4 linked regions of the Xenopus tropicalis genome follow. The protein of the gene in region 3 interacts with the protein of the main gene of each other region in a pairwise test. Links are inferred from orthologs where the notes say so. Each region holds a gene or a part of one and is shown on either strand. Other genes may lie near its edges.

Region 1 (6,306 bases), on a different chromosome or scaffold from region 3:
TTTTGATACCATGGAACAATAGCAGTGGTCTTAAGGAGAGAGGCAGAGAAAGCGAGCTGGGTCATAAAAAATGCTGCCATAAGGGTAGTTTATAAATACACTGAACAGAAATCTCAGCTAAAGTAGCCATTTAAACACAAAAAAAGTCTATATAAAATTAATTAGGCACAATTCAAACGCAAATAAAAACCAACTTTGAAAAATGGCAGTGCCACACAGCTGCTAACATCCCTATACTCTTCTACAAACTAAAGGTGAATATACTTTGGCCAGTACTCTATAGTAACTTATAGGCCCTCGAGCCCTGATGCCCAATGAGAGGCTATACAGATTCATAGCAACATTCCCTTGTTCCTTCCTTTGGGTAGGCAGCATAAATGATGATCAGAAAAGCAGGAAGGAATTTCATGACCTGCCAATTCCTCATGCAATAGCCAATGCGCATTAACAAATGACTTTTGCGCTCCATAACTATTCTTATAAAACCTGTTGCTAAGCATTTCCTACTTTTTTTCATTTAAAGATTTGCCAGCACCCCCCTGATACAGTGAAACATTAGTTTTACAGACCCTAATTTGTTTTTCTGTCATCTACAATTTATTTGTGGTCCCACCAAGATATAATGCATAGAGAATTTCCCTGATGTCTAATTTTTTACGGATTTAACGCCATTTTTTCCTAGTTCCTTGAAAAACTTAAAATAGGCGTTCTACTGTAGTCCAACTTTCATTTCACTGGCCAAGTGCATACAGCAGATTTATATTTACACTTCTTGGGACTAAACAGCCCTTCGGAAATTACTACAGGCATGGGGGATCCCTTATCTGGAAACCCCTTATACAGAAAGTTCCGAATTACAGAAAGGCCATCTCCATCTTCCATAGACTCCATTATAAGCAAATAATTCTAATTTTTAAAAATGATTTCCTTTTTCTCTGTAATAATAAAACAGTACCTTGTACTTGATTTCAACTAAGATATAAATAATCCTTATTGGATGGAAAACAATCCTATTGGGTTTATTCAATATTTAAATGATTTTTAGCAGACTTAAGGTATGGCGATCCAAATTACGGAAAGATCCCAGTTCCCAAGCATTCTAGATAACAGGTCCCATAGCTGTATTTATTAGCTACTATATGTCATCACCTTGAGTAACAAAGTAAGATTTACTAAAATTCAAATGTTTGTTCAACTAATTTTTTTTTTTTTAATACAAAAGTTTTTTTCTTAATTATGAGTATATTTACAAAAAAATGTGATATAAAAAAAAAGTTTAATTGCAGAAAAACCTACCACACTCTACTATTCCTTTTTAACCAAGTCTGCAAATCTCTTTTTTAAAATCTGAAAATAGCTTGAATTTTGAAAATACAGTAGAACCCTGATTTTATGTTTCCCAGGGGACGGTGTCAAAACATGGCAAATTCCGGGTACGTAAACGTGGGGTTCTGATCTACCCTTCCCATTAAAGAAGCTTGCTAGGTTTTAGGTGCCAAATGTGAAAATTTTCTAATTTATAGATCTTGAATCGTTCAGATCAGAAAACTCAAATTTAATAATAATATTTACCAATTTTTCACTGTGGAAAACTTGTATTGCAGGGAAAAAAAACCACCATCTTGAATTTTAATAAAGCCCCATAGGCTGGTTCCTTATAGTGAATAAACAATATACTTAATAACTACTGTAACAAAACTGTGTGCCAAAAATTGCATTTATTTGCTTAAAATAAAGACTTCATTGTACAGGTATGGTACCGGTTATCCAAAATGCTCTGGCACGGGGTTTTACAGAAAAGGGTTCTTTCCAGAATTTGGAGCACCATACCTTAAGTCTGCTAAAAATCATTTAAACATGAAATAAGCCCAATAGGACTATGTTGGCACCAGTAAGGATTCATGCAGCTTAGCTAACATTAAGTTCAAGGCGCTGTTTTATTATTACAGCGAAAAAGAAAAGTGTATAAAAGTCTGAATTATTTGCTTAAAATTAAGTTTATGAGAAACGGTCTTCCTGTAAATCGGAGCTTTCTGGATAACAGGTTTACAGATAAGGGATTCCTTACCTGTACTGTCACTTAAGCATGTATGCGGAGATATTTTCTACACAGTTTGACAAACCAAGCCACTCAGGTTGTAGCATACACCATTACTATTGTACCAATGTGCAGAATACTTAGACAGAAGACACTTATTTCCTTGTCGCACCCCCATGTGAACTAGCCAAGTACAAACATAATCCGTACAGGAGCCATATTGATTCTCAGAACTTGCTAGAGAACTTCAAAGTGTGGCTCTCCTACAGATGTTAAACTGCACCTCCCTACAGTAAAAGACTGCTGAAAGTTACAGCGCAGGATCAGCAAGATGCAGCTGTGCGCGTGATTGCATACAGGAGGGCAGATTCTGCAGGGGTGATTAAAAAGCAATTGTCTATGCCAAACAACTCCAATGTGCCACAGGGCACCATGCCTACTTCTCTCTCTGCTCCTGGAAAGTCACCAGACATGTAACTAAATATTAAAGTTATTCAATGCATGCATTACCACTAATATTTAGCAAAACAGCCACAGGCAGGTAATAGCCAATAATGATAACCGGCTTAGAATTTTTAGAAAACCTCCATGAAAACTTGCCCTTTAAATCAGTTTATATGATTCAAAGGCCACTGGGATCCATCTAAGAACTACACTTGTGCTGATGAACTGGCTTACATGCCAAAAAGAACATCCCAAGAAATAGAAAGTCAACATTCCTTTACACACAGAACTTCCAGAAGACAGCAGCAGGGTATGCCAGCATGGATTCCACTGGCAGCCCAGCAACAACATGAACATTGTGAATATCACATGTCACTGTGTGTGTAATCCCAGTGTGCAGCACTGCATAGTTTGCTCAAGTTTTTAGATGGGAGTGACAGCAAGCAGTTCCTACCCAATGTTTATCATGGAATATGACTGATGGCATTTAGGCTAGAGCAAATGGCTGCAACCATGGCTGCACTGGTTATAAGTGATGTAACAACAACAGGGGGTGCACAATGAAAGAAAGGGTTATACCAGACAACTTTAGCTCAGTAGTTTTAAAGTTCTATGTAATGAAGTTGCAACTGAAAGCAGTGGCTGTTTATATTGCCTGCACTTTCTGACTCCAGAAACAATGTAGCAAAAGATAGCTGATTAGAAAAGTCAAACTAAAAAGGGGTGCAACCTTTTCTAAAAGGAACAACAGCCCAGGAAAAAAACTTAGTGATATTGTATGGGGGGGGGGGGGGTCCTAAAATACCAGCACCCAAATCCAAGCTTGACATGGGGCATATCTGTATTCTGCTACATTATATCAAGAGTCAGAAGCAAAGAAGTGCAAAGCAAATACTGTTTTTAATTCCAATTACAAAGCTTGAAAGTTACTGAAATTTTGACATGAATGTATGTTGCTAACTTGTTCAGAACTGCAGTTTTTTTTTCCCTTTGGAAAAAATGTATTTGGGAGGTTTACATTCCACGTAAACTAAAAAGTTAACCCGTTGCGTGAGAGGAGAGCTAGACAGGGAACATCAATGACATATAGGAGGACAAAGGTCTCCAAAGCAGGGTCTGGCTGTCAAACTGAATAGCAGGATGTGGAAAGGCACACCACCATTCCTACAGACGAAACAGCAGCTTCGGGGAGAATGGACTTCAACCTCTCTACACAACTGGATGTTGCAAGTGTTGGAATGGGCAGATCTGAAACATTACAAGAGACCAGCGTCTTCTTTTCTCACCCCCCCCCCCCTTTTTTTTTTCTCTCTCTCTCTCTCTCTCTCTCTCTCTCTGGAGATCCGGCTGCTGCTAAATGAAGTGCATACAGAGCAGGAACTGACAATGGCTCACATACCGCCCAGCAGTCCCGCTGTTTGCCGGACAGTCCCGAATTTCTCAACACAGCCCGCAGTCCCGGATCGCTGTTTAAACGTCCCGCAACGCCATTTAAATGTCCAGCTCCTCGGCTCCTGCCGACCTGCACATCCAGACTCACAAGTCTCATCTCGCGAGACTGTGACGTCACGGGCAGAAGTCTATAAGCGCGGTGACGCGGCACGTAGCCGCCTTAGGGGAGTGACGGCCAGTGACGGGCGCGTCTGTGTCACTCAAGTCTAAGTTTCTAGTAACACGCGGTGTTTGTGCAGTGCGGATTCCACATTTTTCTTTCACCTCATGGCTTCTGCTTTCGTCAGAGAACAAGAAATAATGGGGAAAAAGATTTGTTTTTCCCTGCTCATTGATTAAAACTTAATAAATATTTTCTTTGCTTATGCGACGTCATACTTGTGCCAGGGAGCAAAAATAAAAACACCTCTTTTCTGATGGGCGCCGCCAACAGCTGCTGAGTTTGTGCTCCTAAAGTGAAAATATTGTAGTTTTTTTCTGGTTTCCTGACACGTTGACTTCCACTCTCTTGTCACTAATTCCCTGGGGTTTTCAAATTTCTCTACTGAATTCAATATACATGCTGCAAAAGCAATGGGTGATGTCACTTCCAGCTAGGGTTTCTAGTATTTTAGTGGCCTAGTCTTGCTGGCAACTTTGTCTTGTCCGCTTGTTTCTCAACTAATTGACCCCAATGCCTGCTAAAATCTTAGGCTGATGCCACACGAGGCGTAGGGCTGAAATTTTCGGCAAGCGGATAAACGCTTGCTGAAAATTCAGCCCTACGCCTGCTACTTGTGCCTGCACCCGAATGAATGGGATATGCTCGGGTGCAGGCACATGTAGCCGATATACGCATAAAAAAAAGAGACTTTGCATTCTCTCATGTTTTCATGCGTATATCGGCTACATGTGCCTGCACCCGAGCGTATCCCATTCATTCGGGTGCAGGCACAAGTAGCAGGCGTAGGGCTGATTTTTTGGCAAGCGTTTTTCCGCTTGCCGAAAAAATCAGCCCTACACCGCGTGTGGCATCAGCCTTACCTTTCCTGTCCTAATTTTTACAAATCTCTCCTGCAGACTAGAGCTGGGCGGTATGACCAAAAATTTATACCACGGTATTTTTCAAAATTATATCGGTGTCACGGTATTTGACGGTATTTTTTTCCATGCATGAGTAGGTGTTAACCCCATTTCCTAATAAATTAGGGAATAATTACTGCAGTATTGAAAATCAGAGTCAGGCAAGCGAAGGATCGGCAACAGAAAGTCGTAAGGTAAATCAGGCAGGCTTAGTTTCCCAGGCAAGGCCGCAGACAACATAGCACAGGAGGAGGCGTTTGATAGCTTTAAATACCCCCCACGCATGCGCAGAACCAGCGCCGTCAGCGCGTCACGGACATGCACGCTTTGACATGTACGTGCGCTTTGACGCACGCGTGTGCGCAATGTCCCGCGGACAACGGGACGCACGCACGCAAGGAGGCGCGCGAGACCGGCCTGCACGGGTGAGTACCCTGACACCCCCGGTATTGCGGTATCTGAAAAATGAATATAGTTTAAAAAAAAACACCGGTATTCCATATTAAACGGTATTTCGCCCAGCCATACTGCAGACTGCCCGCTACTCCACCCAAAAATGTTATCAATTCGCCCCCTGACATCATCAGCCATAAAGTCACAGCTTTACCCTTAGGTCAGGTGGGTTATGGTTGAAATTTGGGCAACCATTGGGGGTTTGGGTTGGATGTGGGTCAGATTGGGGAAGTACGTTCTTCCTCTGCTCACGAAGGTGATGCTTTTCTCTCTCGGAACATAAGATGGGCACAGAAGTATTTTACATAGTGGGAAGATGTGGGTTTTGGGTTGGGTGCTGGTCCTTCAATGGCAACGTTTTGCAGGTTACGGTCAGTGGCGGTTAGGTTTAGTGGATTAGGGTCGGGGGCGGGCTTTCTCTGACTCACACATTACTACACGCCTGGTATTTTACAACTCAAAAGGTGGAAACCCTTCTTCTTCCGACAGCAGCCTCTGCCATGACAACATTTTTCAGACCCCTGGCCAGGGTTGATACCTCTGGGCTGCCTACCTACCACAATCAGAGCCTTTTTTCCCACTTTGACCAATCTGAGTGTCCCGGTGTTTTTTGCACCAAAAAGGGTAAACTTTTTCTCAATAAATAATGGCTACTTTAGGAGAAAGTAATGTGTGAAATTGACCAAAGGAAATCTTGAGTTTTTAGTCTCTTTTTTTGAAATTAGCATCAGTGTCAAGATTTAGGAAAAGATCTAGGGCATTTAGAAGAGGACAGGGTGAACTTGAGCAAAAGTAATCTTTAACTCTTCATTTATTTTGGTACCAGGGGCATAAATACAGTAGAAGCAGTCCTGCAG
Region 2 (6,276 bases), on a different chromosome or scaffold from region 3:
CCCAATATAGTATATTATAAGTACCAAGCTGGAATGAATCCAAGATCTTTCTCTGTTCCTAAGTAAAACAAACAAACATGGATCGGTCTGAAAACACAGCACTAGTATATAGGCGTGTATTCCGGGGGAATTCCCTACCAGTCATTTGAACTGAAGAAGCCACTCGGATGAGTGGGGAAACGTTTTCAAGAAAAAAACAGTTGTTTTAGACTTAATGCTACTAGATACTGTATATCATGACCTGGATGAATGAGAATCTTCATAGACACAGGCGTGTAATTCGTACACACGGCCACTAGATGGCGCAAACACTGAAAAACCTGAACTTCGTAACCTAGCGGAGAAATCGTGGGGCAGAAGCGCAGGTTAATGGATATGAATTGCGAATGAGGCCAATGTTTTTACATTTGAGGGCAGCACACAGAAGCTTTGAGTGAGACCTACAGAATTCTGTAAATATGTGGGTTTTCCTGCTGCACTGGACACAGTTATGAAAAATCCACTCAAAATTGCTGTCTTCCTAATCTGGAAGTGCAGGCTGCACTGATTTCTATGCAGCCATGCAGGGTGTATCTATAGGAATGGCTAAGCAGCATGGGGTGTTTATAAGCAAGTAAATGCTAGGGGTGAGGGCTCACCTTTATATATCACCTTTATATATATATATATATATATATATATATATTGCCCTCATTCGCCTTCCTATATTCTGAGTTATTTAGATGTGGCTAGTGAGACTATGCCCAGTTAGTCCCCCATAGCCCTCTAATGCAGATTTATTGTAGTCCAGTCTAATAGGAGTGTTACAATAAGTTGCATCCAATCCTCTAATCCTATCCAACCTGATCTGTTGGAACAAGAGTTGCATCCTCATTCACATCAGATCGGTTCTATGGGGCTTATTTGCACTTGTTTGCACTATTTGCTGGGATAGATATCCTTGGTATTTGCTATGGGGCATTCTTTGCTGCTGGGTAGTCGGAACCCACTGTGTGTATGTTTGCTGCTGGGTAGTCGGAACCCACTGTGTGTATGTGTTTGCTGCTGGGTAGTCGGAACCCACTGTGTGTATGTGTTTGCTGCTGGGTAGTCAGAACCCACTGTGTATGTTTTTGCTGCGGGATAGTCAGAACCCACTGTGCGTATGTGTTTGCTGCTGGATAGTCAGAACCCCCTGTGTATGTGTTTGCTGCTGGGTAGTCAGAACCCACTGTGTATGTTTTTGCTGCGGGATAGTCAGAACCCACTGTGCGTATGTGTTTGCTGCTGGATAGTCAGAACCCCCTGTATATGTGTTTGCTGCTGGGTAGTCGGAACCCACTGTGTATGTGTTTGCTGCTGGATAGTCAGAACCCACTGTGTGTATGTGTTTGCTGCTGGATAGTCAGAACCCACTGTGTATGTGTTTGCTGCTGGATAGTCAGAACCCACTGTGTGTATGTGTTTGCTGCTGGATAGTCAGAACCCACTGTGTATGTGTTTGCTGCTGGGTAGTCGGAACCCACTGTGTATGTGTTTGCTGCTGGATAGTCAGAACCCACTGTGCGTATGTGTTTGCTGCTGGATAGTCAGAACCCCCTGTGTATGTGTTTGCTGCTGGATAGTCAGAACCCACTGTGTGTATGTGTTTGCTGCTGGATAGTCAGAACCCACTGTGTATGTGTTTGCTGCTGGGTAGTCGGAACCCACTGTGTATGTGTTTGCTGCTGGATAGTCAGAACCCACTGTGTGTATGTGTTTGCTGCTGGATAGTCGGAACCCACTGTGTGTGTGTTTGCTGCTGGATAGTCAGAACCCACTGTGTGTATGTGTTTGCTGCTGGGTAGTCAGAACCCACTGTGTATGTGTTTGCTGCTGGATAGTCAGAACCCACTGTGTATGTGTTTGCTGCTGGGTAGTCAGAACCCACTGTGTATGTTTGCTCATTCACATCAGATCAGGTCGGTTCTATGGGGCCTATTTGCACCCCCAGTATAACAGGGGCTCTTGCTGGGATAGATTTCCTTGGTATTTGCGTCCCTGCTAACTGAATTGCAGTCATTGCATTGGGCTGTATATAAATCCATTTCTTTATTGGGCTTTAGGCAGGGGTGTGAGTTTAACCACTTGATTGCCTGAGTCACCCAAAGGCGTTGACAAACTCCCTGCCAGCTGAAGGGTTAAAAGCCCCAGCTGGTGACCACGCCCACTCCAGAAATATGGGTGTGGCTAGGCTGCACTGCTCTGGGAGACATACACACACACAGAGAGACAGTTTCCTGCTTCCCAAAGCGGCTGTGGCTGAGACAGGAGGGGACAGAGGGGACAGCAGGGACCGGGCAGCCCGGGATGAAGGCGCATCATTCAGCACAGTGAGGGCACTGTATGCTGGTACAGAGGGGGCACTGTACTGGCTGCCCCCCCCCTCACCCCCTGGGTGGCTCTGGGACACTGCAGGAGAGACCCCCCACCCATGGTACTGTGAGTGCCCCCCTGATGGTACTGATGGTGCTCTAACTGCTGGGAAAGTCTGACCCCCCCATGGAAAGTGAGTGACCCACCCCCGGTACCGAGACACCTTGGCTTGCGGTGCTGGTTCTGTTCCCAATGCTGCCGGGCTAACAGGGCAAGGAGGAGTCGTGCCCGGACCCCATAACCGCCTCCCGGTTATCCGACCCCCCCAGGATGAGCGGCGGAGAAGTGGTTTATTGCGGCTGGCTCAGAAAATCCCCCCCGGAGAAGAAGTTACGGAGATATGTAAGTACATGTGGCTGGGAGGAGTGGGGCAATTACATGGGGCAACTGGGCAGGGAAGCGGCTATGGGGCAATTACATGGGGCAGCTGGGCAGGGAAGCTGCTATGGGGCAATTACATGGGGCAACTGGGCAGGGAAGCGGCTATGGGGCAATTACATGGGGCAGCTGGGCAGGGAAGCTGCTATGGGGCAATTACATGGGGCAGCTGGGCAGGGAAGCTGCTGTGGGGCAATTACATGGGGCAACTGGGCAGGGAAGCGGCTATGGGGCAATTACATGGGGCAGCTGGGCAGGGAAGCTGCTGTGGGGCAATTACATGGGGCAGCTGGGCAGGGAAGCTGCTGTGGGGCAATTACATGGGGCAGCTGGGCAGGGAAGCTGCTGTGGGGCAATTACATGGGGCAGCTGGGCAGGGAAACTGCTGTGGGGCAATTACATGGGGCAGCTGGGCAGGGAAGCTGCTGTGGGGCAATTACATGGGGCAGCTGGGCAGGGAAGCTGCTGTGGGGCAATTACATGGGGCAGCTGGGCAGGGAAGCTGCTGTGGGGCAATTACATGGGGCAACTGGGCAGGGAAGCTGCTGTGGGGCAATTACATGGGGCAACTGGGCAGGGAAGCTGCTATGGGGCACTTGTATGGGGCAACTGGGCAGGGAAGCTGCTGTGGGGCAACTGGGCAGGGAAGCTGCTGTGGGGCAATTACATGGGGCAGTTGGGCAGGGAAGCTGCTATGGGGCAATTACATGGGGCAGCTGGGCAGGGAAGCTGCTGTGGGGCAATTACATGGGGCAGCTGGGCAGGGAAGCTGCTGTGGGGCAATTACATGGGGCAACTGGGCAGGGAAGCTGCTGTGGGGCAATTACATGGGGCAACTGGGCAGGGAAGCTGCTATGGGGCACTTGTATGGGGCAACTGGGCAGGGAAGCTGCTGTGGGGCAACTGGGCAGGGAAGCTGCTGTGGGGCAATTACATGGGGCAGCTGGGCAGGGAAGCTGCTGTGGGGCAATTACATGGGGCAACTGGGCAGGGAAGCTGCTGTGGGGCAATTACATGGGGCAACTGGGCAGGGAAGCTGCTATGGGGCACTTGTATGGGGCAACTGGGCAGGGAAGCTGCTGTGGGGCAACTGGGCAGGGAAGCTGCTGTGGGGCAATTACATGGGGCAGTTGGGCAGGGAAGCTGCTATGGGGCAATTACATGGGGCAGCTGGGCAGGGAAGCTGCTGTGGGGCAATTACATGGGGCAGCTGGGCAGGGAAGCTGCTGTGGGGCAATTACATGGGGCAGCTGGGCAGGGAAGCTGCTGTGGGGCAATTACATGGGGCAGCTGGGCAGGGAAGCTGCTGTGGGGCAATTACATGGGGCAGCTGGGCAGGGAAGCTGCTGTGGGGCACTTACATGGGGCAGTTGGACAGAGAAGCTGCTATTGGGCACTCACATGGGGCAGTTGGGCAGAGAAGCTGCTGTGGGGCACTGTGTTTGCTGCTGGGTAGTGAGAACCCACTGTGTATGTGTTTTGTGTTGGATAGTCGGAACCCACTGTGTATGTTTGGTGTTGGATAGTCGGAACCCACTGTGTATGTTTGGTGCTGGATAGTCGGAACCCACTGTGTATGTTTGGTGTTGGATAGTCGGAACCCACTGTGTGTATGTTTGGTGCTGGATAGTCGGAACCCACTGTGTATGTTTGGTGTTGGATAGTCGGAACCCACTGTGTATGTTTGGTGCTGGGTAGTCGGAACCCACTGTGTATGTTTATCGGGTGAGGGGGGGGAGTGTGCACCTGTCACAGGTGCGCGGAACTCAAACTGTAAACAAAGGCGGAGTGGGAGGAGCCTAATTAACCATTAACCCATTGAGTGCCGGGGGCGGTTAGAAGTTTGCCTCTGATGACACAGCAGCAGGTGTAACACTAAGCGGAGCAGAACGCTGCGGGGTTTGCGTTTCGCCGCTTGTTACATTGCGGCAGGTGTTTGGGCTGGTGACGTCACAGAGGAGGTTCCCGGGTGCGGGGCAAAGGGGGGGCAGCACCTGTCCGTATACTCGCAGTGTTCTTATATACCGTATATTGTTCTCTGCATAGGGGCGGGGCTTTATCCAACCCCCCCCCCCAACCCAACACACATGATTTCTGGGGGGGCTAGTAACAAATGCAGCTATTATGGCCCTAATTGGTTGGGGGCCACGCTTGGCAGTATGCGGGGAGAAAGTACGAGGTGCTTCTATGAACTGAATCTGAGTTAAATAGTGACCTGCAGGGGATGCTGGGAATTGTAGGTCAGCAATAGCCCCCCCCCATAAATAATGCAGCTAGCAGGACTGACAGCCATGAGTGTCACTGGGGCATGTGTGGAACATATGGGCCTCAGGGGAAATACATTTTAACCCCTTTTAGGTCTAGGAGAGGTTCTCTGTGATTTAGTGTTTAAATCTGCACTGTCGCCCATTCCCTGCCCTTAGGGAATATTGTCACAATCTGGAGTTTATTAAAGTTAGGGATATCCTACCAGCTAAATTGCCGAGAATCCTATATACTATACTATATATATATATATATATATATATATATATATATATATATATATATATATATATATATATATATACACACACACACACACACACACACACACACACACACAGTTATAAGCTATAACTACATTTAATATGAGTTAGTCCATACATTAACCCTTAATGTACCAACTATAGGAAACACAAAGGTGACTGTGACTGCTGTAGTTGGTCAGGTTGGAACAAGTACAGAGCACTCCACCTGGGAAAAGACCCTTTATTTGCTGGTACCATCTGACCCAAACTGCCTAGGGCCAATTGCACATTAAATATATAGCAATGAAACAGTTAAAATTCTTTATTGGCTCTTTACAGGCTCTGGAATCCAGATTACTACTGGTGCAGCAGGGTTAGGGTGCATGGGTGCTATAGTGTCAAGGTGCAGGCTTAGTTGCCCTTTTACTATGTAATTTAATCACTTTTATCACCGTTATTTGTAGCTGCAGCTGAATAGACTACAACTATATTGCACAGAATAGTAGTTACTACATGTAGTTGACTAGACTACTACACAGAGATTACTAGCACCTCCTAGCTGACAAGGCTACTAGAGGTTAGTAGCTTCCCCTAGTAGATGGCTACTAGCCTCAGTGGCCTAATAACGAGCCCCCAGATGGATGTGTGCTTGGCAGCTGGGATAAGAACTTGCCCCCCCCCCCCCCCCCCCAGTTATAGGGTCTCCTGTATGGTAGTTACGCCACTGACTAGCCTAGTACTACAGATCAGTAGCTCCTACTTGTAGCTTATTGGGCTACTACTATAGCTCCTAGAGATATAGTCGTTAAAGGGCAACTAATCTTTACTAGAGAATCATAAGACAATGCCACATATAGCGTTTTGTAGCCTGCTTGTAATCGCCTCACCCTTGGGCAATAGGGCACCCAAGGATACCGTCTCCTCTGTTCCGCTTCCCTTAGTTCTTCTTTAAAGGGAAACTGACCCTGCAGGTGTAGGGGCTATCATTATATAT
Region 3 (5,520 bases):
TTTGGCTTTCCCGCACCAGAAAGCTTCCATGTTTACCTTTCTCTGTCAACAGCTTCTCTGCTTCTTTCCCTGAAAGATGCCCATGGAACCACCTGCAGCCATATAATGTAAATTAACATAACAACAAAGACTTCCAAAAAGTAAATCATCTTTATCAATAAAGGCTTTTAACAGGCTAGGCTATTATGCTCTACAAGTGGATCAATAGATTTATCAATATTACCGTTTCAGGAGATCCACTTCTCAAGTGCATATTCTTAAACTGGAGACTAATTCATAAGGTAATACAAAGAATTTGAGAAGGACTTTGAAGGTTAATACATGAAAGAAAAGTCAAAACATGTGTCAAGGTGAAAAACAGAGCTCTCTCACCTCTCAGATGTTGGGTCTGCACAGTTTAGTGGATATTTCAGTTCAATAACATCACCATTCTTTTCTTTCAGTTGCCCATGGTGTTCCATATAATACTGAACAAGTTCAGCCAATGTTGCAAACTTTTCCCCTCCATACAAGTCATAATAATCCCCAGTATTCTGTATTTTTATGTGTGTCACAGCTCCGTTCCGCCTAAAATGCAAAATGCAGTTAATTTAAGTAGAGACAGACAGAAGAGACATGAAGAGTGGCCTTTAAATTTACTTTTAGTATGATATAGAGCAGTTCTCCAACCAGTGTCTTGTGAGCAACAGGTTGCTCACCACCCCCTTTGATGTTGCTCCCAGTGGCCTCAAAGTAGGTGCCAGTTTTTTAATTTCTGGCTTGGAGGCGTGTTGTGGAAGCACAGAAACACAATTTTAAACCAAGGAGACCTACTGCTCCTCATTTGGTATCCCCAAAGTGTTGGCTCACCAACACTTTTTACACCTGAGTGTAGCTCACAAGTAAAAAAAAGCTTGTGGATCCCTAATGTAGAGAGTGTTTTTCTGAGACAATTTGCAATTGGTCTTAATTTTTTATTTGCAGTTTTTAAATTTAGTTTTTTGTTCAGAAACAAAAAAATATTTTCCCTTTTATATTATAAACAGAGTGAGAGACTAGCATGGTTTTTCTTTCAATCTGTGTAATCCAGTATGTATGTGTAAGGTCAGATACTAATCATGCAGCTTTTCTACTGTCCTCTGATATTTTGCAACAGACAATGGGTGAAATAACAGCGAAGTATTATGTAAAACATGCATTGTAATTTATTGTATAGTAAAATTAGTTAGACTGCATATTTACGTGAAATAATGGCTCTTCCCTTTTCACTTTACACAGAGTAAAATATCAACTCTACATGCAAAAACGATGATGTGCAACTAGTATGATGTTACATATACCAATTACATGGAGAAAAACTAAACAGCAATTACAGCTTTCTTAACTGCTTTTTAAAAAATCCAGTGGATTAAGCGGTTTTACAGTGCTGCAATATATGTTTGGAAATATATCTACTAGTGTGTAATGTGCATTAAATTTGAGGACTACTTAAACAAATTTGGTCCAGCCGTCAGAGCGAGAGAACATAATTAATAACAATTTATACCTAATATTGTGAGTTATAAGATCACATATAGTAAAGTTGCCAGATGGGAAAACTTCCAGAAAATCCAGATAGAAAGGCTGCATTAGTTCCAAATTAAATATAATCAGTGCAGCTCAGAAATATACACTTATTAGAAGTGATCTTGTAACCATAACATTTAGATCTAATGCACATTGGTGTATTATAGAAGAAGATGGATTCAATTAACTGCATACGCACCTCACAGACAATGTGAAATCTCCTGGATTACTCTTACTGGGGCGAGCTAAGAAACTTCCATCCACTCCTCGGGTAAGTAGCAAATTTTCTGCTTCAACACCAGTGATATTAGGGTGAAACCACCTAGACCACAAAGATATGCAAGAGGAAAATCAGCTTCTAAGAAATAATTAGCATCTTTCCTTCACTTTTTAGGGTAATTTGTGCTTGACCTGCATTAAAAAAATGACAACATTACAGCCTCTCTTCCTTATATGCAAGGACCATGCCTGGCCATTAAATCACCTTTAATCATACTTGTAGGGAAGACTATAAACTGCTACTTGGCAAATATGGCCAGCAACCAGAAAGTAAGTTGGCAGTGAAGCTAGATTAACTATAATAACTACTTATACTATGTGGCCTAATGTACTGGCAAATATTGTATGGCTGAAAGTATCCATCCAACCCTCTTAAAGGAAACAGTTCAGTGTAAAAGTTAAACTAGGTGAATAGATAGGCTGTGCTATATAACTTAGTATATTGAAAACATTTTTTATTTTGCACAGCCTATCTATTTACCCAGTTCTATTTTACACTGAACTGTTATTTTAAAGGAACAGTAACACCAAACAATGAAAGTGTAAAAAAGTAATTACAATATAATATACTGTTGCCCTGCATTGCTACAACTGGTGTGTTTGCCTCAGAAAGACTACTATAGTTTATATAAGTTAGCTGCTGTGTAGCCATGGGGGCAGCCATTCAATGGAGAAAAGGCACAGGTTACTTAACAGATAACAGATAAACCCCCATTATATGGGGCTTATCTACTAGTTATCTGCTATGTAATCTGTGCCTTTTCTCCTTTTTTCCAGCTTGAATGGCTGCCCCCATGGCTTCACAGCAGCTTATTTATATTGTAGCTTTTCTGTAGCAAAAACACCAGTTTTTTTTTTTGCAGAGCAACAGCACATTATATTTTAATTACTTTAAAACACTTTAATTTTTTGATGTTACTGTTCCTTTAAAATGCACATCTCAGGGTTAACATTGACAGCTAAGTTCCAGACTGTCTCTGGAAGTAATGTTAGGACAAAAATATTCATTGAGTTTTTCTGTGAACGGCCATACACAAGCCTAACATTACTATGTGCAATGCCATAAGCTTACAGAAGTAGTGTAAAGATGTATCTCAGTGGAAATTAAAGTCTACAGAACTAATATATTGCTGTAAATTGATGTTTGCTCATAAATGGCTTACATTCACAAGGCATTCGATACAAGCTACAGCTCTGTAGTATTTTCATATTTTAAATAATACAGTCAAACAGTTTCTACGCTGCTGCATTTTGCACAGCGTTGCAGTCCCCTCCAATTCTAATGTACTTCTATGGCTGCATTCCCTGGATTTTGTCCCATTTCCCTTAAAACATCAGCATTGTCATTTTTCCACACCAATTCTTCAGTCAAACCTCAATTTTATATCCCCTCCATTCTATGTTTTTTTTTTATTTTGCATTTAGTATAACAATGTACAAAGGTGTACCTTTTGGGGTTTCCCATGGTGCAGGGTTGGTATGAAATATAATTCAGGCACATATATAAAAACAATTAAAAATAAAGAAAGAGGGGGGGAAGGGAGTAAAGAGGGAGGGGTGAGAGAGGAAAGAAAAGTAGGAATGGAACATGGGTATAACTTGGGGATAAAATCTTGTGGATAGTTCTTTTATCAGTCATCATTTTTGCAGGCCTAAGGTTCGGGTTACTATTAGAGGTAGAAGATTTTGAGGAGGGTATTCTTGGGGGCTGTTGTGGTTAGCCCTATAGGTTTATTGGAATATTCCGGTAAGTCATCCAGGGAGCCCAAATTTTATTGTGGGTTTTTTGCTATCCTGTTGAAATGCTTGCAAGACTTTCCATAATTAACAGATTGTCCAGTCTGGAGTTTATATCCAATGTTGATTTCCAGGCTTTGGCTATTGTTTGTTTTGCTGCAGAGAAAAAATATGGGTAGTTAGTTTCCTCAGGTATTTATTGCCACCAGAAATGTTTTTGTTCAACAGAGCTTCTGCTGGGTTCTTCCGTAGTGATAGGCCTGTGACAGCCGTAATTAAAGTGTACATTCTTATCCAATAGCGGACTGCGACTGGGCAATCCCACCAAGTATGTATAAAGGTGCCTTGTTGGTTGCATGCTCGGAAGCATAATGGTGATGCGGATGGGTACCAATTAGATATTCTGGTAGGTACCAGATACCATTGATGTAGGATCTTTTGAGAAGTCTCTTGTATCAGTACATTTATGGAGCATGTTACCGAGTCTTTAAAGATGTCCAGCCAGGTGGCTTCATCAAAGCAAAAATTTAACCATTCTATGGTTCCATTCTATATGTAACCATTCATTATAAGCTAGAGAGGGATTTGCAGGCATTTTCAGGATTTATTGCAAATAAATCTTTAGTTTCTCCAAGTCTTTACTTTTTTTTTTTTCTTCACTGCAAAACTTAAACGTTAAGTGACTCCTCACAACCCCAGTCACTTCTTATTCTGCATTTATGACATCACAAAAAGTCACATACGCAATGTCTAAAAGGGCAGTATACCCCCATTTTCAACATTAGTTCAGAGAATAAGGCTTGTGCTGAACAAAGTTTTTACTTATTGATCTCAGTATTTCACGGAGAAGCCCTCTGAAAAAAAAACCCTACCTTTGCCTAACTGCAGCCTAATAGGCTGTGAGATAAGGAGCAGCTGACTATACAAAGGGCTTCTCAGTGGATTGCTGATTTATTTTGATTGTGCCACCAGGAAGCTGAATGTGACTTGTAATTTCATATGTTTCCCTGTTCAAAGCAAGAAATAACAAAAAACATACATATGTATTCATTAAAATAGGCAAAATTATATTTAACATAAGATTAAAAAAAATGTCTACAGTTCTACACAAAATGATACACACATACACCCACCTAAAACCCACACACATATCAGGAACTAAACAGCTGTACAGCATGCCAGACTCTTTCTTAACCATGCCCTGTAAAGGAAGGCATAGTGTTCACACTTCCACTGTTACAGCATATGCAGCATTATTACAGCACAGCTGTACTTTTAGCAAAGCTTCCCACTGCAAATAAAATGCTAATATCAGCTAATCCTATGATGCTAATATCAAGTGATCCCTGTACTAAACGCAAAATGATTATATCAGAAATGTAACAAAACATAAAGTAAGTTATATATTTTAACTACAATAAGTATTCTGTGTGCAAATACATAATTTTGGACTTATTCTGGCCCATCCACTTCTTAAAGGAACAGTAACACCAAAAAATTAAAGTGTTTTAAAGTAATTAAAATATAATGTACAGTTGCCCTGCACTGGTAAAACTGGTAAGTTTGCAACAGAAACGCTACTATAGTTTATATAAATGAGCTGCTATGTCAACACGGGGGCAGCCATTGAAGCTGGGAAAAAGGAGAAAAGGCACAGGCACATATCAGATAACATAAGCTTTGTAGAATATAATGGGGTTTTATCTGTTATCTGCTAAGTAACCTGTGCCTTTTCTCCTGTAAATGGCTGCCCCCATGGCTACACAGAAGCTTTATTATATAAACTATAGTAGTCTTTCTAAGGAAAACACACCAGTTGTACCAGTACAGGGCAGCATTACATTATAAAGTAATTACTTTTATACACTTTCATTTTTTGGTGTTACTGTCCCTTTAACACAAACAGTTTTACAAAAGTGCCTACAAAACCTAATTTTTGTGCACTTAGCCAAGAGTGCA
Region 4 (6,142 bases), on a different chromosome or scaffold from region 3:
ATACAAAATTACACACAGGGAGGACAAGTGTTATAATAAATAAATACAATAAATACATATATATAAATACACATATATATATATATATATATATATATATATATATAAGTGCCATGTGGTATGAGACACAGTAGGAAGGAGGTCCCTGCCCCATAGAGCTTACAGCCTGATGCTGCCCCCAGCCTGCCCAACTGCAATGTCCTTTATATACTTGTGCCTGCCCCACCCCTCTCCAGAGACGTGATAGGAGGATCAGGCTGGGAGAGTGCAAGTTAAGTCAGCCATACACGCACCAATAATATTGTATGAAACCTCGTTTCGGTGCGTGTATGGCTGCTTGAAGAGGCGACTGATATCACAGAAGGCGGCGGATATTGGTCGATCGCCCAGGTCAAAAGATTTTGATGGCGCCCGAGCAAAATCTACATTCAGGGCTGAATCGGCAGAAGGAGGTAGAACATTGTACTTGATCCAAACTAAGATAGAATCAATCCTTATTAGTGGAAAAACAATTTGATTGGGTTTATTTAATGTTTAAATTGTGTTTTAGCAGACTTAAGGTATGGCAGACTTACGGACAGATCCCTTATCCGCAAAAACCCCAGGTCCCAAGCATTTGGATAACCGGTCCCGTACCTGTACAAATTACTTTCATATTTAACAATTTAAAAGACAATCAACGGCATCTAGTTATGTATTTCAAACATATTGATAAAACAAAAATAAATATTTTTGGTTTCTCTGGCTACAAGTGGAGCATAAACAGTGTCTTTTACATATTATTTTCTTTATTGCCAACATATTGCAGTGCTTTACAGAGAGTATGATTCACATCGGCCTCTGCCCCAGTGGAACTTCCAATTTATGTTCCTTATAATATTCAAACAACTTATGAACACTAGGGTTGGGTCGGGAACCATTTAACCTAGTGGGATAGATGTGAAAAAAAACAAACTAAGTTGTGAATGAATAGAATAATAATGCAGAGGTTGGTCTTTAACAAAACCATAGTGTTACTGATGTTGAATTTGAATGAAAATCAAATTCTTAATTAAATATCATCACTTTACCATTAAATGCCCCATATCCGAACAATATCACAGAACTGTGCCCAGCATTAGTTTGACTGATCACACACTATGCTATCTGTCTGCTATGTAAGAGTCTGAAAAATATGCTGTTGTCTTATGAGTGTTACTACTAATAATAATTATATGCCATTCATTTCTACAATCACAGTGACATTTGATACACATCTGGTTTTCTTATTTATAGCAAACCTATGCAGTAAGATATACATTTATTATTCTCGTGTAGCTCAGTATATTTACTGAGCTACATAGTGACCTGCATGCAGTGCCGCATAAAGATTCTTATTTTGCCACGTCTTTTTTTCTTCTGAGTGGCCTTTTATAATATAGCAAAAGCCCTGTTTTTAGACTGCAAGCTGTTTTGGGCAGGGCTTTCTTTAATGTGTTAGTTACCTACTACCTACTGTTCCTCTGATTCTGGAACAGTAGTACTGAGTTTAGTTATTCTGTAGTGGCCTCTGGTTATGTAGCATAATTACTAAGTTATTCAGCTGAGTGGCCTCTGGTTAAAGAACAGTAATACACATATGAGACTTACTATTCTGAATGCCTGCGACCTGGTGTTTTCTGGATAAGAGTTTTTTCAGTAATTAAAAATTATTTAAACATTAAACCCAACAGAATTTTTTGCCACCAGAATGGATTTATGTAACTTAGTGAGGATCAAGTACAAGGTACTGTTTCATTGTTACTGAGGAAAAGGAATAAATAAATAAATAAATAAATAATTTGCTTAAAATTTGTGGAATCTGTGTATAGTGGCCTTCCCATAATTTGAAGCTTTCTGGATATTGGGTTTCCAGATAAGAGATTGATACCTGCTGAGCAGCTCCTTTTTATGTTGCAGTGGTACTGAGTTTAGATATTTTTTTTAGCAAAGTAGCATCTGAAATCTGTACATTTCTAAAAGTGGCCACACACAATTTCGATCGTTCCCACCCTCCACTGACGTTCAGGGCTGAATCGTCAGATATGGGGGTAGAAACAATAGAAATTCTACCTCCTTCTGCCGATTCAGCCCTGAACCGATATTCACAGCCTTTTGCGATATCGGTCGCCTCGTCAAGCCACTATACGCGCACCGAATATCGTACGAAACTAGGTTTTGTACAAAATTATCGGTGTGTGTGTGTATGGCCGGCTTAAGGCTGATGTCCCACGGAGCGAGCTAGTCGCACAAGACAGATATCTGCTACCGCAGGCGACTAACCACTCCGAAATGCCTTTTCACCGGCAACAATAGGAGTCACTGGTAGAAAGGCCTACGCATCACTTCAGCTTTCCGAAGTCGCACAAAGTTTCCTCCTGCAGGCAACTTTGAGTGTCTTTGGAAAGTCAAAGCGATACATAGGTTTTTCCACCAGCGACTCCTATTGCTGACAGTGGGAAGGCATTTCAGAGCAATTAGTTGCTCATGGTTGCAGAGATCTATCGGGGGCGACATTGGACATTAGCTTAATATCCATAGAATCCAAAGTATGGTAACATCAGAACAAATTCCTTTCGGCTATGTTGTAATGCAATACAGTTACAAGATCCAGGTATGGGATACCATATGCGGAATCCTGTAAGCTCTAAATTAAGGGAAGCCCATCTCCAACAGAGTCAATTTTAAGCAAATAATTGTACAGGTATCGGACCACTTATCCGGAAACCCATTATCCAGAAAGTTTTGAATTACGGAAAGGCCGTCTCCCTTAGACTCCATTTCAAATAAGTCACATTTAAAAAATGATTTCCTTTTTCTCTGTAATAATAAAACAGTACCTGTACTTGATCCCAACTAAGATATAATTACCCCTTATTGGGGCAGAACAGTCCTATTGGGTTTATTTAATGGTTAAATGATTCCCTTTTCTCTGTAATTATAAAACAGTACCAGTACTTGATCCCAACTAAGATATAATTACCCCTTATTGGGGGCAGAACAGCCCTATTGGGTTTATTTAATGTTTAAATGATTCCCTTTTCTCTGTAATAATAAAACAGTATCTGTACTTGATCCTAACTAAGATATAATTACCCCTTATTGGGGGCAGAACAGCCCTATTGGGTTTATTTAATGGTTAAATGATTCCCTTTTCTCTGTAATAATAAAACAGTACTTGTACTTGATCCCAACTAAGATATAATTACCCCTTATTGGGGGCAGAACAGCCCTATTGGGTTTATTTCATGTTTAAATGATTCCCTTTTCTCTGTAATAATAAAACAGTACCTTGTACTTGATCCCAACTAAGATATAATTACCCCTTATTGGGGGTAGAACAGTCCTATTGGGTTTATTTAATGGTTAAATGATTCCCTTTTCTCTGTAATAATAAAACAGTACCTTGTACTTGATCCCAACTAAGAAATAATTACCCCTTATTGGGGGCAGAACAGCCCTATTGGGTTTATTTAATGTTTAAATGATTTTTTTTAGAAGACTTTAGGCAGTAGATCCGAATTACGGAAATATCCCTTATCCGAAAAAACCCAGGTGGCCGAGCATTCTGGATAATGGGTCCCATACCTGTAATTGTTTTTTTTTTTTTTTAAGTAAATCCTTTTTCTCTGTAATGTAAAAACAATGCATTGTACCTGGGGGAGCATTCGCTGCATGATTCCATATTTGTAGCAAATCAATACAATTGGGTTTATTTAATGTTTAAATAGTTTTTAGCAGCCTCATCTGGAAAACCCCACAGCCCATACATTGAGTATAATAAACTGCCAGTGTATGATCACAGCTGGTAAAATAATGCAGTAAAGTTGCAAATGTTCTCTACATGCATTATATTCCAAAGCAAATGCGGAAACATTATTTGATTGCTTTTATTAATATGTAGAATTTATTAAAGATCTTTCCTTTACAGCTTAATATAAAATATACATTATACTTGAATATGATTTAACAGGAACCCGTGACACATTCCCAAACCCCGGGGGGTAAAACTCCAATTGAGTCCCAATACGGCAATGCTGCGCCCCAGCCCTCCCAGCAACACAGCCGTATGGGGGCACTTCCCCCCTCCCCAGCACTTTACGTTTGCAAGGCACAACGTTCGCTTCTTACCTGCGGCAGGCAATCCGATATCACAGGTCAAAGTTCACCCGCTGACGCCACTTCCGCTCAGCCAAACTGCATGCTGGGTGTTGTAGTGTTTTCGAGGTAGAGAAATGACATGCGCCCTGCAATGTGTATCTGCTCGCTCTATACGGACAGTGCATAGGTTACGAAAAGTAATAAGCAATTTCATAACAATATGAATGAATAGCAAAGCTGGAGTGTATCCATGTTAGTCAGAATGTTGAGAATTTATTCTATATGAATAAAAAAAAATATGTAAAGAAAAATGTTTATTTGTTCAGCTGAGGTAAACAGCAACTTTGGCTGAGCAGCAGGGAGTTTGGGAAACCGGAAACTCCACTAAACGCCGATGAACACGGTCTAGCTGGAACTCAATAAAAGATTTTTGTAGAAACTAATAGCTTGAATTTTTTTATATATTTTTCAGGGAGTTTATTGCAACTTTCTAATGGCTGGGGCTAGAGCCACTGCAGGATTGGTTTTGAAGTTCTTTATTTTTCTTCAGAAAAAGTGGCAAATGCCATTCCAGGCCCCCAAATGACATAAGATTGGGGATCCGGAAATAGTTAAGGAATAGTCAACAAGAGCCACAAACTGTGCACGCTGAGAATTTTTCAACTATATGTGAGGAAAAGTTACATTTTAAGAATTCGGGTTCAGTTCAGCCGGGCACATGGATTGGGCCGAAATCCTGGCGAAAAAGGCTGAATACCAAACCGAATCCTGGATTCAGTGCATCCCTTATATATACAGGTATAGGACCCATTATCCAGAATGCTTGGGACCAAGGGTATTCCGGATAAGGGGGTCTTTCCATAATTTGGATCTCCATACCTTAAGTCTACTAAAAAATCAATAAAACATTAATTAAACCCAATAGGATTGTTTTGCATCCAATAAGGATTCGTTATATCGTAGTTGGGATCAGTTACAAGGTACTGTTTTATTTCTACATAAAAAAAGGAAATCAGTTTTAAAATTCTGAATTATTTGATTAAAATGGAGTCTATGGGAGACGGGCATTCCGTAATTCGGAGCTTTCTGGATAACGGGTTTCCGGATAAGGGGTCCAATACCTTTATATATATATCCCTAATATCTCTGCCTTCCAAAGATCTCTAAAAACACATTTATTTAGAGAAGCTTACCCTCATTTAGTTTAACATAACCTCAGTGTGCCCATTCCCACACCTTGGGGCACATTTACTAATCCACGAACGCTCCAAATGCGTCTGTGTTTTTTTCGTAATGATCGGTATTTTTGCAACTTTGCTGTCACCGTCGCGACTTTTTCGTATCTTGCATGTATTTTTCACAACTTTTTCGTCGCCGTCGCGAAAAAATCGCATTGTTGCGCCGAGTACGAAAGTTTCGGATTCATTCAAGCTTTGTGACTTTCCTTGGGCCAGGTTGGAGCTGCAGAGTGCCATTGAGCCCTATGGGAGACTTTCCTTGGGCCGGGTTGGAGCTGCAGAGTGCCATTGAGCCCTATGGGAGACTTTCCTTGGGCCGGGTTGGAGCTGCAGAGTGCCATTGAGCCCTATGGGAGACTTTCCTTGGGCCAGGTTGGAGCTGCAGAGTGCCATTGAGCCCTATGGGAGACTTTCCTTGGGCCAGGTTGGAGCTGCAGAGTGCCATTGAGCCCTATGGGAGACTTTCCTTGGGCCGGGTTGGAGCTGCAGAGTGCCATTGAGCCCTATGGGAGACTTTCCTTGGGCCAGGTTGGAGCTGCAGAGTGCCATTGAGCCCTATGGGAGACTTTCCTTGGGCCAGGTTGGAGCTGCAGAGTGCCATTGAGCCCTATGGGAGACTTTCCTTGGGCCAGGTTGGAGTTGCAGAGTGCCATTGAGCCCTATGGGAGACTTTCCTTGGGCCAGGTTGGAGCTGCAGAGTGCCATTGAGCCCTATGGGAGACTTTCCTTGGGCCGGGTTGGAGCTGCAGAGTGCCATTGAGCCCTATGGGAGACTTTCCTTGGGC

Evidence for each region.
Region 1: the proteins of ptpn11 (region 3) and tlk1 interact in binary tests that used the Homo sapiens proteins (3 or more experiments, as listed by UniProt). The link is inferred for Xenopus tropicalis from reciprocal best matches to the Homo sapiens genes PTPN11 and TLK1.
Region 2: the proteins of ptpn11 (region 3) and gab2 interact in binary tests that used the Homo sapiens proteins (3 or more experiments, as listed by UniProt). The link is inferred for Xenopus tropicalis from reciprocal best matches to the Homo sapiens genes PTPN11 and GAB2.
Region 4: the proteins of ptpn11 (region 3) and trim32 interact in binary tests that used the Homo sapiens proteins (3 or more experiments, as listed by UniProt). The link is inferred for Xenopus tropicalis from reciprocal best matches to the Homo sapiens genes PTPN11 and TRIM32.

What each region holds. Positions count from the first base shown.
Region 1 is NC_030685.2:67,884,797-67,891,102, reverse strand, and holds the start of tlk1 (serine/threonine-protein kinase tousled-like 1), read right to left. Parts: upstream 4,046-6,306; 5' UTR 3,882-4,045; intron 1-3,881. UniProt on the Homo sapiens protein: Rapidly and transiently inhibited by phosphorylation following the generation of DNA double-stranded breaks during S-phase. This is cell cycle checkpoint and ATM-pathway dependent and appears to regulate processes involved in chromatin assembly.
Region 2 is NC_030678.2:169,071,935-169,078,210, reverse strand, and holds the start of gab2 (GRB2-associated-binding protein 2), read left to right. Parts: upstream 1-2,217; 5' UTR 2,218-2,664; coding exon 2,665-2,736; intron 2,737-6,276. UniProt on the Homo sapiens protein: Adapter protein which acts downstream of several membrane receptors including cytokine, antigen, hormone, cell matrix and growth factor receptors to regulate multiple signaling pathways.
Region 3 is NC_030677.2:163,813,423-163,818,942, reverse strand, and holds part of ptpn11 (tyrosine-protein phosphatase non-receptor type 11), read right to left. Parts: intron 1,868-5,520; coding exon 1,745-1,867; intron 568-1,744; coding exon 373-567; intron 93-372; coding exon 1-92. UniProt on the Homo sapiens protein: Acts downstream of various receptor and cytoplasmic protein tyrosine kinases to participate in the signal transduction from the cell surface to the nucleus. Positively regulates MAPK signal transduction pathway. Dephosphorylates GAB1, ARHGAP35 and EGFR.
Region 4 is NC_030684.2:34,068,921-34,075,062, forward strand, and holds the start of trim32 (E3 ubiquitin-protein ligase TRIM32), read right to left. Parts: upstream 4,169-6,142; 5' UTR 4,150-4,168; intron 1-4,149. UniProt on the Homo sapiens protein: E3 ubiquitin ligase that plays a role in various biological processes including neural stem cell differentiation, innate immunity, inflammatory resonse and autophagy.